2 linked regions of the Struthio camelus genome follow. The protein of the gene in region 2 purifies or fractionates together with the protein of the main gene of each other region. This does not show direct contact. Links are inferred from orthologs where the notes say so. Each region holds a gene or a part of one and is shown on either strand. Other genes may lie near its edges.

Region 1 (5,186 bases), on a different chromosome or scaffold from region 2:
GCGTGTTCTGCTGCGTTTCATTCAAAGGAAAAAATCCACACCCTGGCTGTGCCACTGGCTGTAAAGCAGCTCTACAGCCATCTGTGAAACATGTTCGGGACTAGTCCATTTTAACAGCCATGGCGGGCTTCCTTCCTGGCCTTCTCAGAAGAAGATAGAGCGGTGTCTGTGAGAAGTTTTGCCAGTTGGACCCCGATCCATGACACCCAGTATCTTTATTCACCCAGAGCTGTAAAACACTAATTAGATACTCTGCAGCACCCTTCCTCATGGCAGGGAGGTCACAGTCTTGTAGAGCTGACGGTTTCAATGAATACATCCCGCTGGCTCAGTTTTTAAGATAACTAAATCAAAAGATCCCCAAAACCTCTTTCCGCAGAGGCAGCGTTTTACCCCCTCAGCGTAACAGGGCACCTGCTCAGTCCCCGGTTCTCGCACACGCGAAGCAAACGTTGGTCTCGGCGCCTCCAACCCCCGCTCTCCACCGCCAGCGAAAGCAGCTCGCACGCTTAAAAAAAAAAAAAAACATATTTATTTAAAACAAAATAGTTAGCCAGGGGCCATTCACAGGCTGGTTAAGGAGGAAAATTAAAAAAAAAAAATCAAGAAAATCCCCAAAATAACAAGAAAAACCGGTCCAGGGCTCCGCCGGCCCTAGAACTCGAAGGTGCCGAAGTGGGCGGCGCGGCCGCCGGCCTTGGGCTGCGGCTTGTAGCCGATGCGCTCGCCGATGATCTGCTCCCGGCTCTTGTGCTCGGCGCCCAGCGCCAGGGCGGCCTCCTCGCCGGCCGCCGCCACCTCCGCCTCCTCCCGCTGCTTCTTGCGGCTCTGCAGGGCAAACGGCGCCGCCTCAGAGCCCGGCCGCTCCCGGCAGGCGGCGGGGGACGCGCCGGGCCCCGGTACCGGCGCCGCGCGCTGCGGGGCGGCCCCGGGCCCGCCTCAGGCCGCGCCCCCCCGCCCGCCGCCGCGCCCGGCCCCGCTCGCACCTCCAGGTCCTTCCGGATGCTCTCGAACTCCTCGATATCGTCCAGCTTCAGCTCCAGCCGCGTCGGCTTCCGCCGCAGCATCGCTCGCCGCCGCCGCCGCCGCCAGCGCCGCCTCAGCCGCCGCCGCCCGGCTTCAGCCGCCGCCACCGGCAAGGAGCGAGAACGCACCCCGCCGCGCCGTTTGCCACACCTCCCGACCTGCCCCGCGCTCCCCGCCCGTCGGGGGCCACACCTCCCGGCATGCCCCGCGCTCCCCGCCCGTCGGGGGCCACACCTCCCGGCGTGCCTTGCGCTCCTCGCCCACTGGAGGCCACATCTCCCGGCATGCCTTGCGCTCCTCGCCCACTGGTGGTCATACCTCCCGGCACGCCCCGCGCTCCCCGCCAGCTGGGAGTGGGGCGTACCTCCCGGCATGCATCGCGCTCGCCGTTCACTCCGCCGCGTACTCAGGCTCCCACCTCCCGACACGCGCCGCGCGGCGCCCCGGAAGTGACTGTGGGGTGCCGGGGCGGCAGGGCGCGGAGCGGCGGGTGTCCCGGTGCCGGCCGCTATGGCTTCTTCGCGGGCTCCGGTGGCGCGCGGCGGCGCGCGGCCCCCCGCGCGGGCTCCCGCTCCCCCCGAGGTGCGTGTCCAGCCGGGCCGGGGCCGGGGCCGGGGCCGAGCGGAGGAGCGGGCCTGGCCCGCCGCCTTCCGCCCGCCTGCGCGCCGGAGACCCGAAAGGGGGAGCGGGGGGCAGCGGGGCGGTTTGCGTGGCGGGGGAGGCCCCGGTGTCGGGGACGCAGCGAGCGGCGGCGCGGCGGAGACTCGAGTGCCGTCAGCGACACCTGAGCCCTCGAAAGGGGTCGTGACCAGACTGTTGATGTTTTTTCGCAGATTTTTGAAGAATCCTGTAATTTTCTTGAAAAGTGCTTTCAGGCTTCTGTCCTGCGAGTAAAGGAGGGTTTTTTTTGGTAATGTTACATCTCCCGCTTTTCAGCGGGGGCATTGAGAGGTGGCATTCAACATCTCATGCCTCTTCTAGAAGTTCTTCAGCAAGATTGGGAAGAGCTTCATGTTTTTAAAAAAAAAAAAATAGGAGAGAGAGAGAGAGAGACTTAAAAACTATGCCCAAGCAGACACTAAAAAAATAGAAAAAGATGCAAATCTAATTTAAGCAAGTCTATTGAACATGTCGTTTAACTTTTGATTTTTTGCACTTGAGGGGCATAGCCTTACTGTTCTAAATTAGCATCTCGTGCACAGCTTCAGGGTCTTTTCATGATGTCCTTACTAGCTTTCTCTGGCAGAGCAGTGCTTTCTCGCACAGCCAAGCCATTCACCGAATGTCTTCTATTCAGCTAAAACACACTGAAGAAGTCTTAATGTTCTGCCTCTATTTTCTAGGTCGCAAAGAGCAAGGCCTCAGAGGAGAGCGATGCTCCTCCACCCAAAAGAGCCCACATCTTTTATGGCAGTTTGGAAGAGAAGGAAAGAGAGCGTCTTGCAAAAGGAGAGTCAGGCCTGCTGGGAAAAGAGGGCGTGAAGGCTGCAATTGAGGCTGGCAACATTAACATAAGCAGTGGTGAGAATGTTTAACCCTGTCACCTTTTGATTCTCGCTCTTGATTTTGACATATTCATAAGTCTCTCTGTTTGGGCTTGAGCATAATTTAAAATCAAGAACGAGACACCTTTGTCCAGCTGCCGTTTTCAATTTAACGGCTTCACTTTTGGTTTAGGTGAGGTCTTTGATCTCGAAGACCATATGAGCGAGCGTCAGGCCGAAGTCTTAGCCGAGTTTGAGCGCAGGAAGAGAGCCCGGCAAATCAACGTTTCCACTGACGACTCTGAAGTGAAAGCCTGCTTACGAGCCCTTGGGGAGCCCATCACGCTCTTTGGAGAAGGTCCTGCAGAAAGGAGAGAGAGGTGCTGTGCCCAGTCTTGCGTGTTGCTAACTGTTAACACTCAGCTCTACCCCATTTGTCAAATTCCTGAAATATTTCTTGTAGTTTGGGTGTAATGAACGCTGCTAGTCAGTGATGCTTCTTTATGATGTAGCAAGAATAATGGGGGTGAGGGGGAGAACAGAAGACAATGGTCAGACTATCTGACAGCTCACTGAGTGAATGTGATTTAATGTGTTTCTTTTCAGATTACGAAATATCCTTTCAGTGGTTGGCACAGATGCCTTGAAAAAGAGTAGGAAAGATGATGACAAGTCTAAAAAATCCAAAGAAGAGGTAATATTCTCTCTTTTTCTCTCTCCTTATTTATTTATTTATTTATTTTGGAGGGGTTGCTGCTAGCTCTTAATGTGGCGGGGAATATGTATAAAAAGTTTTTAGATACCTTATTTAGACGGTCTACAATAGATCCAGTGCTTTTGGTTTCAGTCAGACTGACAGTGAGGGTTGCAATGTATTTAAATCAAGAGAATTAAGTCCAGGTTGTACTTCAGACCAAATTACATGTTGCATATGGCGTATAAACCAGGAGACTGAGCATTGGAACTGTTACTTAGTAAATCCTTTATTGCTGATCATCATCTTACTCAGGAGGAAAAAAACTATGTTCCTGCCACTACATCTAGTTCTGTCTTTGATTCTTCTTTCTTTCTGCCTCTCTTTTCTGAGTCTGGTTTTTTCCTTATGATTTTGGAGGGTTGCTATAAGGAGTAAGTACAATTTCTGCAGCTCCAGGCTTTCTTTTTATTCCTCCCTTTTCCACATATCCAGTAAAATCATCAGCAGTAAATGGTCAAGTGAAATATAAGATTGTGTTCAAGCAGAATACACCTGTGGGGCATGGCAGTACACCAGGATCTCATTTGTAGGACAGAGAACTTGACTTGTCTGTGTTAAATCTCTTTTTTGAGGACTTATATTTATGCAGAATACCCCATTCAGCCCCTTAAGACAAAGGCCTTAAGACAGCAAGCTTTAAGAGAAGGTGCTGCGGTGGCAGTTATGTACGAAGAGGAGTTATCTAAGATGACTGAATGGAAGAACTCTTATCACATTAGCTTTTTCTTTAGTTTTGTTCTTTTTCTCTAAGTATCAGCAAACCTGGTACCACGAAGGACCACGCAGTCTGAAGACAGCTAGGCTGTGGCTTGCTAACTACTCGCTCCCCAGGTAAGGAAAAACAAAATACATGAAAAAGAGAGAGATGCAGGCTTCTGTCAAATCTAACCATTAATCCCACTATGGGTAATGCCAGAAACTTGAGATCAAGAGAACAGGGAACCCCTGCTGGTAGACAAACCCAGTGAGGTTAGAGTTTAAGTTCTTAGTAACTGCACTGGCATTAGCCCAATTTTAAGAAAGGCAGAGGAGAGGCCTGTTTCCAGCAGCAGGCCGGGGGAAACGTAGGGACTTGTTGCTCTAATTTTGCTTTGCACAGGGCAGTGAAGCGGCTAGAAGAAGCCCGGCTGCTCAAAGAGATTCCAGAGGCAACCAGAACATCACAGAGACAGGAGCTACACAAATCCCTGAGGGTAGGTTTGGCATCTGCTCAGCTTTGTTTCTTGACAAAAGAGATCAGAAAGAGGTCAGGTGCTAGCTTAGATCAGTCAGAGTGGCTCCGTCCCCCTCCTGCATGGAGTTGGAGTGGCTCTGGGGCAGCTCTTCCCTTTGTGTAAGTAACTTTCCAAAGACCTCTGTCTCCTCCTTCGTACACTTACCTATTTCATCTCACTTCTTGGCCAAGGCTTTTTCTACCTCGGTAGTACTTATTTGCCATTGTCTTTGTATTTGTTTTCAGTCCTTGAATAACTTCTGCAGTCAGATTGGAGATGATCGGCCGCTGTCCTACTGCCATTTCAGCCCCAATTCCAAATTCCTAGCTACTGCCTGTTGGTAAGTGTTCTTTTTAAAGCCCTCGCTTTAGAAAAGGGGGGTGGAACGTGACAGGAATGAAGAAGAGGGATGTTACTGGAGGTCTGTGAAACCTGAGAGTTCAGAAGTGCTCTTTGTTCCTACTCTGAACTCTGTCTTCACCCTGTTTTAAAGATTTGCAGGGATTCGAATCTGAGTCCGCTTGTCCCTGTGGCTGGTAGCTCCAAGTGTGCTGGTATTATAGCCGCTGCAGAAATCCCCAGTGTGGTTCTGCAGCTCTGTGTGTGATCTGTTCTTTGAGGTTCCTGTTCCTGTCTGCACTAACTCGAATTTCTTGTGTTCAACAGGAGTGGGCTGTGCAAGCTCTGGTCTGTGCCTGACTGCAA
Region 2 (8,094 bases):
GGGGCACCTTTCCCTAATTCACGGCTGTCGGGGCGGGGAGGGGGCCCCGTGCTTCAGCAACACCTTTTTGAGCTGCCGACACACGTAACGGGAGAGCTGCGAACCACGAAGGGCAGCGGCGTAATTGCGCCCAGAGGGCTGGGCCACGGGACGAGCGGCTCGCTGGGCCCTGCCCGGGCGCCGGGGCGAGGGGGGGCCGGCGGCGCAGCCGCGGCGCCAGGGCAGAAGCACGTGGAAAGCGCTCGGAGGAGCCGACCGCGGACCCGATCCTGCCCCGGCGCTGCAGGGCTGGGGATCCCGCCGGGCGCCCGGGACCCCAGCGCGGTCCTGGGACAGAGGCAGCGACCGGGGCGTTGGTGAGAGCCCGCAGCGGGGCAGGGCCCCAACCGCGGGAGACCCCGGGGGGGCCGGGCCCGGAGCCACGTCGCCGGCCCGCGGTGGGACCCCTGCGCCCCCATCAGCCAGCCCCGCGCCGCAGGTCTCTGCCCTGCGCTCTGCTCACCCAGCCCCAGCAGCCCCGTCCACGGGGACCTCCTGTCGCCCCCATCCTTGGGACCCCTGTCCACGGGACCCCCATCCCCAGGAGCCCCCGCCAGCCCCGTCCACAGGACCCCCATCCCCAGGGACCCCATCCCGGGAAGCCCCTGTTGGCCCTGTCCCCAGGACCCCCACACCCAGAGTCACTTTGTCCTCAGGGATCCCCCACCGGCCCCATCCCCAGGACCCCCTGTCAGCCCCATCCCCACAACCCAACTATCACCCCCGTCTCCATGACCCCCTGCCAGCCCCGTCCCCACAACTCTCATTTCCACAATCCCCTGCCACCCTGGTCCCCACGACCCCCGTCCCCACGACCCCCTGCCAGGCCCGTCTCCACAACCCTCGTTCCCATGACGCCCCATCAGCCCCGTCCCCATGACCCCTGTCCCCAGCACCCTGTCAGCCCCGTCCCCACAACCCAACTATCAGCTCCATCCCCATGACCCCCGTCCCCACGACCTCCTACCACCGCCGTCCCTCTGACCCCATCAGCGCTCTCCCCACGACTGCCATCCCCACAACTCCCATCCCCACAACTCCCTGCCGACCCGGTCCCCATGACCCCCGTCCCCACAAGCCCCACTGTCAGCCCTGTCACCGTGACCCCCAACCCCACGACCCCCGTTCCCACAACCCCCCTGTCAGCCCCATCCCCACGACCGCCATGCCCATGACCCCCATCCCCAGGAACCCTGTCAGTCCCACCCCCACAACCCCTGTCCCCAAGACCTCCTACCACTCCCGCCCCCACGACCCCGTGTTACCCCCGACCCCCACCAGCCCCGTCCCCACGACCCCCTGCCAATGCTGTCCCCACAACTCCCATCCCCACAACGCCCTGCCAGCCCCATCCCCACAACCCTCGGTCCCACAACCCCCGTCAGCCCTGTCCCCACGACCCTCATCCCCATCACTCCCTGCCACCCCCGTCCCCATGACCCTCCTGTCTGCCCCGTCCCCACGACTCCCGTCCCCACCACCCCCTGCCACTCCTGTTCTCATGACCCCCCCGTCAGCCCTGTCCCCATGACCCTCGTCCCCACCGCTCCCTGCCACCCCCATCCCTCTGTCACCCCTGTCCCCATGACCCCTGTGCCCATGACCCCGCCACCCCTGTGCCCACCACCCCCCTCACCCCTGTCCCCATGGCCCCCAGCCACCCCCATCCCCCTGACCTCCCTGTCCCCCTGACCCCTGTGTCCACGACCACCTGCCACCCCTGTCCCCGCGACCCCCATCCCCAGGACCCCCGTCACTCCTGTCCCCACGGCCCCCAGCCACCCCCATCCCTCTGTCACCCCTGTCCCCATGACCCCTGTGCCCACGACCCCGCCACCCCTGTGCCCACCACCCCCTGCCACCCCTGTCCCCACGACCCCTCTCACCCCTGTCCCCATGGCCCCCAGCCACCCCCATCCCCCTGACCCCCCTGTCCCCATGACCCCTGTGTCCACGACCACCTGCCACCCCTGTCCCCACGACCCCCATCCCCAGGACCCCCGTCACTCCTGTCCCCACGGCCCCCAGCCACCCCCATCCCCCTGTCCCCCCTGTCCCCATGACCCTTGTCCCCATGACCCCCCGCCACCCCTGTCCCCACGACTCCCATCCCCAGGACCCCATCACCCCTGTCCCCACGACCCCCATCCCCACGACCCCCATCTCCACGACCCCCGGCACCCCTGTCCCCACGACCCCCATCCCCACGACCCCCATCACCCCTGTCCCCACGACCCCCATCCCCACGACCCCCATCTCCACGACCCCCGGCACCCCTGTCCCCACGACCCCCATCCCCACGACCCCCATCACCCCTGTCCCCACGACCCCCATCCCCACGACCCCCATTCCCAGGACCCCCCGTCCCCCTGCCACCCCTGTGCCCACGACCCCCATCCCCAGGACCCTCCACCCCCCGCCACCCCTGTCCCCACAACCCCTGTCCCCACGACCCCCATTCCCAGGACCCCCCGTCCCCCTGCCACCCCTGTGCCCACGACCCCCTGCCACCCCTGTCCCCACGACCCCCGTCCCCACGACCCCCCACCCCCCGCCACCCCTCTCCCCACGACCCCTGTCCCCACGACCCCTGTCCCCAGGACCCCCGTCCCCAGGACCCCCCACCCCCCGCCACCCCTGTCCCCTCGACCCCCGTCCCCACGACCCCCCACCCCCCGCCACCCCCGTCCCCAGGACCCCCCCGCCACCCCTGTCCCCAGACCCCCCCCGCCGCCGGTCCCCCGCGGACCAGGCCCCGGCACCCCGCCGTGCGGGGCGGAGGCGCGGCGCGGCGCGGCGCACCCAGGCCTGGTGCTGCTGCTCCTGCTGCTGCAGCTCGGTCTCGTCCACGCAGGGCCGGTCCAGGTTGAACCACAGCGCCTCGGTGACGCGCGGCAGCAGCGACGGGAACAGCGTGGACATGCTGCGGCAGCGGCGGCGGCGGCGGAACCCCCGCGCGGCGGGGAGCGGCGCCGACCCGGAGCCGGAGCCCGACGCGCCGGAAGGGGCGGGGCGGCGCTGCGGCGGGCGCGCGCGCACGGCGCATGCGCGGAGGAGCCCGCGGGCCCGCGCCCACGGACGGAACGCCGGCGACGTCACGCCCGCGGGGAGGGGGGGGGTGAGCGAGGGGCGGGGCCTGAGGGGCGAGGGGCGGGGCCAGCGCGTCACCGACTGATGGTGGTTTTGCCACCCGGGGGGGCTGGGTGGGTGCGTGACCCACGGGGGTCGGCCCCGGGTGGGAGTGGGCGTCTGTGGGGGTTTGTGGGTGGGTGGGTGTGTGACCCACGAGTGATCTGCCCCGAGGGGGAGTGGGTGTCTGTGGGGGGTGGTGGGTGCGTGTGTGACCCACTGGGGATCTGCCCCTCGGGTGTTCGTGTGTGTGCGTGGGTGGGTGTGTGATGCATTGCGGATCTGCCCCCGGGTGGGAATGGGTGTCTGTGGGGGCTTGTGGGTGGGTTGGAGTGTGACCCACTGGAGATCTGCCCCCGGGTGGGTGTGGGTGGGCGTGGGGTTTGGTGGGTGTGGGTGTGTGGCCCCACGGGGATGTGCGCTGGGGTGGGAGTGGGTGTTTGTGGGTGGCTGGATGACCCACTGGGGATCTGTCCCTGGGTAGGGCAGGTGTCTGTGGGGGTTTGTGGGTGGGTGTGTGACCCAAGGGGATCTATCTCTTGTGGGTTTGTTTTTGTGCGTGGGTGTGTGCTTGTGCGTGGGTGGCCTATTGGGGATCTGCACCTGAGTGGGAGTGGGTTTCTGTGGGGTTATGTGGGTGGGTGGGTGACCCATGGGGATCAACCCCACGGGTGTGTAGGGGAAGTGTTTGTGGGTGTAGGGGAAGTGTTTGTGGGTGGGTGACCCATGGAGGATCTGGCCCACGGGTGTGCACGTGGGGAGGTGTTTGTGGGTGTATGGGTGGGTGACCCACAGCCCCACAGGTGTGGGGTGTTGTAGGTGGGTGGGTGACCCACGTTGTATCTGCCCCTGGGTGGGAGTTGGTGACCCACGAGGATCTGCCCACGTATGAGTGTGGGGGATGTGTGGCTCTGGGTGACCCACTGGGAACCAGCTCCACGGGTGTTTGTGGATTTGGGTGTGGGTGGGTGTGGGTGTGGATGGGTGACCCACAAGGGACCTGCCCCCGGATGGTTGTGGGTGGATGTATGGGTGTGGGTAACCCACGGGGGAGCAGCCCCTCAGGTGTGGGGGTGGGTGGGTGTGACCCACGGACGATCTGCCCCGGGTATGTGCAGGTGTGGGGGTGGGTGACCCACGGGAGACATGCCCCTAGGTGTGTGTTTGGGCATGGGTGTGGGTGACCCACCAGGGATCTGCCCCTGGGTTTGGGTGGGTGTGGGTACGGATGGCTGCATGGCCCATGGAGAAGCTCCCACCGTGTGGGTGTGGCTGTGGATGACCCACGGGAGATCTGCTCCACAGTCCTGTGGGGGGTGTGGCTGTGGTGACCCAGGAGGGATCTACCCCGGGTGTGTGTCTGCAGATGGGGTGGGTGACTCACGGGGGATCTGAACCCTGGGTGTGGATGGGTGCCTGGGTGGGTGACCCACGGGGGATCTGCCTCTGGGTGGGTGTGGGAGCCCCATGGAGGAACTGAACCCTGGGTGTGTGTGTGTCTGTGTGGGTATGGGTGCCCCACGGGGGACCTCCCCCGTGTGTGGGGGGGGGGTGGGTGCGTGGGTGATCCACAGGGTATCTGTCCCCCCATGTGTGTGTCTGTGTGTGCGCGTGGGTGTGCAGGTGGGTGACCCACGAGGATCTGAACCCTGGGGGTGGGTGTTGGTGACCCACGGGGGACCTGGCCCCGGGTGTGGGTGGGTGCCTGGCTGGGTGACCCACGGGGGACCTGGCCGCGGGTGGGTGTGGGTGCCCCGGGGGGGATCGCTCCCCCATGTGTGTGTGGGTGTGTGTCAGTGACCCACGGGGTGCCTTGCCACGGGTGGGTGTGGGTGCCCCAGGGGGGATCGCTCCCCCATGTGTGTGTGGGTGTGTGTCAGTGACCCACGGGGTGCCTTGCCACGGGTGGGTGTGGGTGCCCCACGGGGGATCGTTCCCCCCAGGTGTGCTTGTGGCTGTCGGTGACCCACGGGGTGGGTGGGTGCCTGGCTGGGTGCCCCACGGGGGATTGTTCCCCCATGGGTGTGTGGGTGTGCGTGTGGGTGACCCACGGGGGATATCCCGTGGGACGGGACGGGGCGGGGGGGGGGTGCGCTGAGCCCTGGGCGCCCGCTGACCTTTGAGTCGAGCCGGGGCGGTTGTGCGCGCACCACCGCCGCCACCCCGGGCACCGGTCCACGGGCCGGCTGTGCGCGCCTCGGCCCCGTCCGGCTGTGCGCGCTCCCTCCGGCTGTTGTGGGCAGCGGGGGCCGGCGCTGCTGCGCAGGGAGATGGCTGCTGCGCGGGACCTGCTGCTGCTGCTGCTGCTGCTGCCGCTGCTGCCGCTGCTGCTGCTGCTGCTGCTGCCGGTGCCGGTGGTGGCGGCGGTGGCGGTGCCGGCGGCCGGCCGCGCGCTGCCGCTCAACGTGTGCATGGACGCCAAGCACCACAAGACGGAGCCCGGCCCCGAGGGGCAGCTCTACGGGCAGGTGGGGGGCGAGGGGCGCCCGGGGGTCACCGCCGCGGTGGTGAGACCCCCGCACCCACCGCCTGTCCCCCCCCACCCCGCTCCGGCAGTGCGCGCCCTGGCGGGACAACGCCTGCTGCACGGCCAACACCAGCGCGGCCGCCCACCAGGACCGCTCGCCCCTCTACAACTTCAACTGGGACCACTGCGGCGCCATGCCGGCCCGCTGCAAGCGCCACTTCGTGCAGGACGCCTGTCTCTACGAGTGTTCGCCCAACCTGGGGCCCTGGATCGACCAGGTAGGGTGGGCGCCCCCCCCCCCGCCCCCCGCCGGTGGGCACGGTGCCGCTGCTGGCACCGGTGGCCCGCGGCGCCTGGCACGGGGGTGAGGTGCCCACGTGGTGCGGGGCTGACGCGCCCGGCGCTGCAGCGCGGCGAGGGGGCAGGGGGGTGGGGGGAGGTGGCCCTGGGCGCCCCGGGGTGGCTCCTGTGGGCACAGCATGCTGGGAGCCACCGCAGCACCCACCCCACACCCCCCCGGCGCGGGTGGCCCACGGGACCTGGCACGGGGCCGTGCACTGCGCAGGGGTGACATGTTGCAAGAGTGCAGGGGGTGGAGGTGGCGCTGGGCACCCCGGGGTGGCAGGGTGCACCGGGTGCCACCGCAGCACCCACCCCACACCCCCCCGGCATGGGTGGCCCACGGGACCTGGCACGGGGCCATGCACGGTGCAGGGGTGGCACGTTGCAAGGGTGCAGGGGGGGGTGGCAGTGGGCACCCCGGGGTGGCAGGGTGCACCGGGAGCCACCGCAGCACCCACCCCACACCCCCCAGCCCGGGTGGCCCACGGGACCTGGCACGGGGCCGTGCACGGCGCAGGGGTGGCACGTTGCAAGGGTGCGGGGGGGGTGGCAGTGGGCACCCCGGGGTGGCAGGGTGCACCGGGAGCCACCGCAGCACCCACCCCACACCCCCCAGCCCGGGTGGCCCACGGGACCTGGCACGGGGCCGTGCACGGCGCAGGGGTGGCACGTTGCAAGGGTGCAGGGGGGGGTGGCAGTGGGCACCCCGGGGTGGCAGGGTGCACCGGGTGCCACCGCAGCACCCACCCCACACCCCCCAGCCCGGGTGGCCCACGGGACCTGGCACGGGGCCGTGCACGACGCAGGGGTGACATGTTGCAAGAGTGCAGGGGGTGGAGGTGGCGCTGGGCACCCCGGGGTGGCAGGGTGCACCGGGAGCCACCGCAGCACCCACCCCACACCCCCCCGGCATGGGTGGCCCATGGGACCTGGCATGGGGCCATGCACGGCGCAGGGGTGGCACATTGCAAGGGTGCGGGGGGGGTGGCAGTGGGCACCCCGGGGTGGCAGGGTGCACCGGGAGCCACCGCAGCACCCACCCCACACCCCCCCGGCACGGGTGGCCCACGGGACCTGGCACGGGGCCGTGCACTGCGCAGGGGTGACATGTTGCAAGAGTGCAGGGGGTGGAGGTGGCGCTGGGCACCCCGGGGTGGCAGGGTGCACCGGGAGCCACCGCAGCACCCACCCCACACCCCCCAGCCCGGGTGGCCCACGGGACCTGGCACGGGGCTGTGCACGGTGCAGGGGTGGCACGTTGCAAGGGTGCGGGGGGGGTGGCACTGAGCACCCAGGGGTGGCTCCTGTGGGCACAACATGCTGGGAGCCACCGCAGCACCCACCCCACAACCCCCCAGCCCGGGTGGCCCACGGGACCTGGCACGGGGCCGTGCACGGCGCAGGGGTGGCACGTTGCAAGGGTGCAGGGGGGGGTGGCAGTGGGCACCCCGGGGTGGCAGGGTGCACCGGGAGCCACCGCAGCACCCACCCCACACCCCCCGGCACGGGTGGCCCATGGGACCTGGCACGGGGCCGTGCACTGCGCAGGGGTGACATGTTGCAAGAGTGCAGGGGGGGGGCGGCGCTGGGCACCCCGGGGTGGCAGGGTGCACCGGGAGCCACCGCAGCACCCACCCCACACCCCCCAGCCCGGGTGGCCCACGGGATCTGGCACGGGGCCGTGCACGGCGCAGGGGTGGCACGTTGCAAGGGTGCAGGGGGGGGTGGCAGTGGGCACCCCGGGGTGGCAGGGTGCACCGGGAGCCACCGCAGCACCCACCCCACACCCCCCAGCCCGGGTGGCCCACGGGACCTGGCACGGGGCCGTGCACGGCGCAGGGGTGGCACGTTGCAAGAGTGCAGGGGGGGGGCGGCGGCGCTGGGCACCCCGGGGCGCCGCTGCGGGCACGGTGCACCGCAGGCGGACACCAGCTGGCGCAAGGAGCGGGTGCGGGGCGTGCCGCTGTGCCGGGAGGACTGCGAGCAGTGGTGGGAGGACTGCCGCGACGCCGCCACCTGCAAGGAGGACTGGCACAAGGGCTGGAACTGGAGCACGGGTGAGGGCGCGGGGCGGGCGGCGGCGGCGGCGGTGGCAGTCCCCCCCCGGCTCAGCGCCG

Evidence for each region. Proteins that work in one complex are often made in the same cells at the same time.
Region 1: the proteins of ANAPC15 (region 2) and CDC26 purify together in Homo sapiens (affinity purification with mass spectrometry; 3 studies listed by BioGRID and IntAct, with this or other methods). This does not show direct contact. The link is inferred for Struthio camelus from reciprocal best matches to the Homo sapiens genes ANAPC15 and CDC26.

The regions. Positions count from the first base shown.
Region 1 is NC_090961.1:12,162,167-12,167,352, forward strand, and holds CDC26 (anaphase-promoting complex subunit CDC26), read right to left. Parts: upstream 1,198-5,186; 5' UTR 1,103-1,197; exon of another isoform or gene 1,073-1,102; 5' UTR 1,068-1,072; coding exon 987-1,067; intron 829-986; coding exon 655-828; 3' UTR 515-654; downstream 1-514. Other genes in the region: PRPF4 (U4/U6 small nuclear ribonucleoprotein Prp4), read left to right, coding at 1,537-1,608, 2,370-2,547, 2,704-2,890, 3,117-3,204, 4,019-4,098, 4,367-4,460, 4,727-4,821, 5,148-5,186. UniProt on the Homo sapiens protein: Component of the anaphase promoting complex/cyclosome (APC/C), a cell cycle-regulated E3 ubiquitin ligase that controls progression through mitosis and the G1 phase of the cell cycle.
Region 2 is NC_090942.1:224,054,234-224,062,327, reverse strand, and holds the start of ANAPC15 (anaphase-promoting complex subunit 15), read right to left. Parts: upstream 3,036-8,094; 5' UTR 2,962-3,035; coding exon 2,842-2,961; intron 1-2,841. Other genes in the region: folate receptor gamma-like, read left to right, coding at 5,439-5,636, 5,725-5,913, 7,899-8,034. UniProt on the Homo sapiens protein: Component of the anaphase promoting complex/cyclosome (APC/C), a cell cycle-regulated E3 ubiquitin ligase that controls progression through mitosis and the G1 phase of the cell cycle.